Bombyx mori: one gene and its partner. The protein of the gene in region 1 binds, or shares a complex with, the protein of each later gene. Links are inferred from orthologs where the notes say so. Each region holds a gene or a part of one and is shown in the gene's direction. Other genes may lie near its edges.

The links. Proteins that work in one complex are often made in the same cells at the same time.
Region 2: small nuclear ribonucleoprotein sm d2 (region 1) and U6 snRNA-associated Sm-like protein LSm2 share a complex: the UniProt entries of both Homo sapiens proteins name them as parts of the U4/U6-U5 tri-snRNP complex. The link is inferred for Bombyx mori from reciprocal best matches to the Homo sapiens genes SNRPD2 and LSM2.

The regions. Positions count from the first base shown.
Region 1 is NC_085132.1:3,762,035-3,764,770, reverse strand, and holds small nuclear ribonucleoprotein sm d2, read left to right. Parts: upstream 1-1,092; 5' UTR 1,093-1,168; coding exon 1,169-1,170; intron 1,171-1,272; coding exon 1,273-1,525; intron 1,526-1,817; coding exon 1,818-1,922; 3' UTR 1,923-2,173; downstream 2,174-2,736. UniProt on the Homo sapiens protein: Plays a role in pre-mRNA splicing as a core component of the spliceosomal U1, U2, U4 and U5 small nuclear ribonucleoproteins (snRNPs), the building blocks of the spliceosome.
Region 2 is NC_085129.1:20,029,820-20,031,888, reverse strand, and holds U6 snRNA-associated Sm-like protein LSm2, read left to right. Parts: upstream 1-1,006; 5' UTR 1,007-1,079; coding exon 1,080-1,367; 3' UTR 1,368-1,447; downstream 1,448-2,069. Other genes in the region: protein suppressor of forked, read right to left, coding at 149-178. UniProt on the Homo sapiens protein: Plays a role in pre-mRNA splicing as component of the U4/U6-U5 tri-snRNP complex that is involved in spliceosome assembly, and as component of the precatalytic spliceosome (spliceosome B complex).

The DNA.
Region 1 (2,736 bases):
AAGCGCCTTATTCACGATCCATCTTGCTGTACGTCCCGCCAAGGCCATGCACGATGCACGATGCATTTAGCGCTTTATTCACGATCCGTCACGGCTGTACGTCAGCTCAAGACCGCAGTGCTGGATGTATCAAGCGCGAACAGAATAAATCGAACGAATTAAATGAGGGTTTTAAGTTAAAATGCCAGCTGCTTTATCAAAACGCCAAAAATGGGAGTCCTTCTGATGTTGTCAGCAGCAGCAGAAGAGAGGCAAAAAATAGCAAGAGGTTTTGGATGATTTTTTTAAACGTGCAGAGTATACTCAAATAATTAATATCATTTTTTACGCACGCTATCAATCCTTGCAGCTTCCCCTAAAATGGGCCTAAAAATTGTAATACGTTTATTATTTTTGGTTTATTCATATAGTCTGCGCTTGAGACATTCCACAAAAATGTGGAACTTATAACTTTCAATAAATCTTGAAAGGGTTTCACGATCCATTTTGACGTGCAGTCTCCTTTCGAAACTCTTCGTTAACTTTAATTTCAGTATTACCACCGTCTTTTTACGATTTCATCAATGTCAGTGTCGAGTTAAAAACTGACATTTAGTGGCCATAATTGTTTGTTGAAATAATACTTTTTGGCGGGAACGCGAGGAGTGAAGTTGTGTGATTTGTTTTATTTTGTCTATTTATTTAGTGTTTCTTCAGGTTGAAATGTGTAATAACGGTGGTTTATTAACTGTGTATTATCTGTGAAAGTGTACAAATGTGGGAAAATGAAACAAAGCCGCTGGATGTAACTTCTCGGGATCCTCCAAAAAGTCCACTGAAAAGATCTCAGTAAATGACCACCATTTTACTGAGATTATATTATATTTCATCCCATATCATCTCATTTCATTTTATTTCATCCCAGTCGATTAATGTCCCAAATTAATCATTTTCATTTCACTCCATATTATCATTTTTCATAAAATTAAGAATATAAATTAAAATAAGACATGACTTACAAGTCTTAGTTACCAGGTCACAAAATTCCTTACAAAAAATTGTTGAATTAAAAAGCAGAGTCACCATAGACAAAATAAAGCGTCGACTTAGCGTGTGTACGATAGTTTTGCTGTAATTGTAATCTTTTTCACTCAATTTCTCAGTTCACAAGCCCATAAAATAATACAAAATGTAAGTATTAATATGATTTACGTAGTTTTAACAATATATTTAACATATTATCTGCTTAGCCGGTAATGGTCAACAATAACTCTAATGTTAACCTTATTATAGGACGTCAACAACTAAGCCACGCTCTGAAATGACCCTAGAAGAGCTATCTAAAATCGAAGAGGAAGAGTTTAGTACCGGACCTCTTTCCGTGCTCACGCAGTCAGTAAAGAACAACACACAAGTTCTGATAAATTGCCGTAACAATAAGAAACTCCTGGGTAGAGTGAAGGCTTTCGACCGGCATTGTAACATGGTATTGGAGAATGTTAAGGAAATGTGGACTGAGGTACCGAGAACTGGCAAAGGAAAGAAGGTAAACAGATGTTACTGTATTTCAGTTCAATTGATTCAGAAATTTGAGGTTATGTATTGGAAATAGGAACCACTCCCAAGCGCTCATGTATAAAAGTGCTACAGCTCCAACTTGAAAAGTACACAATAAGACATGATGTCGCGTATTTTAGGCCAATATTAGCGGAGATAAAATACAAACCACTGGAAATTCCCAAGATGACAATTATGTGGATATGAAACATTCTGTGTTAGCTCATTTCATTAAAACTCTTCAAATTCAAAATACGTATAACTTCTGGTTTTATTTTCAGGGCAAAGCTGTAAACAAGGACAAATTCATCTCCAAAATGTTCCTCCGCGGTGATTCTGTGATCTTAGTACTAAGGAATCCTCTTGCTACAGCTGCAGGGAAGTAATGCAGTAATTAGTTTAAGTATTAATGAATAAAATATTCAGGAAATGAATAGCTTTACTGGTTCATTCCTTAAACTGTAATAATACTTTTACAAAATTGGAAACTGTGTTAGTTCTATGATTCTGCAACTATATGTAATAAATAAACAAACTCGATATTTTAATATATTGAAATTGTATCAAGTTCACATATTGTAAGATAAAGCTAAAAACGATCAGTTATTATAATGATGCATTAAAAGAGTCTCACCAGTATTGTTGTTAATATTAGCATAAAATAACTTCATATTAGTGGCTGAACATACCAAAATTGAAAAAAAGATACTTACTTTTGGTGCAAGTAGTAACTAACAATTTTGTAAAATATAGATGCTTTAACATTTTTAAAGAAACATGGCAAAATTACAATGGTCAAGAAGTCCACAAACCTGTCAATAAGTTTATAATTTCTATAATAAACCAAAGTGTAAAAGTGTGTTTTTAATATGATTTTTTTCATAGCCCCTTATTAATTTGTGCAAATTAGATCTGATGTACATCATGGGATTAAGCTGTGCAGTCCAGTCCAATATTTTGTTAACATGTTGGTTTCATGACAGACACTATGAGTCCACAGCATACTTTCCCCTAGGGTAAAAAAATGTAGTGTTTTTTCAAAAATATTCTCAAGAAATTACTCAAAAGTAATGAGTGAGGTATGGAAACAGTGACTAAGTATTGTTTTCTGAGATATTTCAAATGGCAGACAGTGTCGTCATAGACCTAAGTAAATGGTTGTTACAGGGTGTCCACCATTCCACTGGACTAAACATGATT
Region 2 (2,069 bases), on another chromosome or scaffold:
TTAGAACTACACAACAATCGATTGCTAATACATGCACTTATATAAACGAATTACACAACATTCAGGAATATCAAATCAAAAAAGAAAACCTTTGTTCTTTTAGTTTTTAATTATATTCAATTAATGCGACTAATGCGTAAAAACTCACAATGTCGGCGATTTCATCTACAGATGCCATTTTGAAGTTTACGTTTGAGGTTATCTATCTGGTTTTAAGTCCGAGCAACAGTTTTTCGAAGAACTAAGTAAATGAGGTACTGATTGTTTGTGGACACATTACTCTCAGTGTTAAAATCGATTTAAAACAATAAAAAAACACAATTTTCTTTAAAAAATTAAACAACTCAACCAAGCTCAAACGGGATTAGCGGACGCTATAGATTATACATTTCGCTTTAAGGAATTTTATGACCTGGTAATTAAGATCTTTAAGTCATGTCTTATTTTAATTAATATTCTTATTTTTATGAAAAATGTTACAATTATGTAGTGAAATGACATGAAATGAAGATGATTAATTTTAGATATTAATCAACTGCGATGAAATTAAATTAAATTAGATGAGATGAGATGATATGAGATGACATATTCTCAGTAAAATGGTGGTCATTGACTGAGATTTTTTCAGTGGACTTTTTGGAGGATCTCGAGAAGCTATGTCCAGCGGCTTTATTTCATTTACCCACATTTGTACACTTTCACAGATATTAAACAGTCAATAAACCACCATTATCACATTAAATTAGATTACATTATTACATTTAAGCCTGAAGAAACACTAAATAGACAAAATAAAATAAATCACACAGCTTCACTCCTTACGTTCCCGCCAAAAAGTCCCGATTTGTTTTAAAAATTTAAGCACAGGTAACGAAAACGTAGTAAATGCAAGACATTGGAAATGAGATGGTGCTCCTGCACAAAACTAACAAAATTACGGAAAATACCGATTCACACCGCTACAAAAAGCTATTGGCATTGACATTTTATGATTTTGACTTTGAGTTTTAAATGACATTAATTGAAGAACCCAAGCCAAATTACTGTTTCAGCGCGTTTTCAAACAAACAAAACGAAAAATGTTGTTTTACTCGTTTTTCAAATCGTTAGTCGGTAAGGATGTAGTCGTCGAGCTGAAAAATGACCTCAGCATATGTGGGACGTTGCATTCTGTGGATCAATATCTCAATATAAAGCTTTCGGATATAAGCGTGATTGACTCTGAAAAGTATCCTCATATGTTATCAGTGAAAAATTGTTTTATAAGAGGCTCCGTGGTTCGATACGTACAACTGCCGGCTGATGAGGTAGACACCCAGCTTCTCCAGGATGCCGCTAGAAAGGAGGCGACCGTTTCAACAAGATAGAACTTAACCTAACCTACAACTTCAATTTAAAGTGTACATATTAATATAAGCTTAAGTTTCTTAATAAATCATTCTTATAATATAGTGTTTTAGTAGCGGTCTCCGGATATTCATTTCAGAAAAGAAAGTTTCCTTTGATCGAAAAATAACCTAGTTCTTCAGTTTTATGTAAGTTTTATACCAGAGTATGAAAGAATAATTTATCAATAAAAAACATCTATATTTTTACCATTCTCAAAAATGTATCACAGAAAAAAGTTTTTATTACCTTTCACATCAAACTATACTGATAATTATTAGACATAGCTGCATTCCTTAATACTTAAGCCTTTTTTCAAACCAGAATTGATTTAGATCTCTAGTGTACATAATTTGGATGTAAATATTTACAAAGCTGTTATTTTGGATTTTTAAGATATACTTTTTCTGAAGATGGCCATGTCATAGTTTTCCATAGGCAGAAGGGATTGTAAAAGCATCATTAAAATATGTTGCTTGCCAAACACTGAACCTTCCTGAAACCTGAACCTTTTAAACCTTCTCTGGACTTCACGAATAATTCAAGACCAAATTTAGCCAGATCGGTCTAGCCGTTCTCGAATTTTAGCGAGACTAATGAACAGCAATTCATTTATATATATATAACTAGATAGATTACAGAAATATATAGATAGAAACATAATTTTAAAACTACATTTGTTG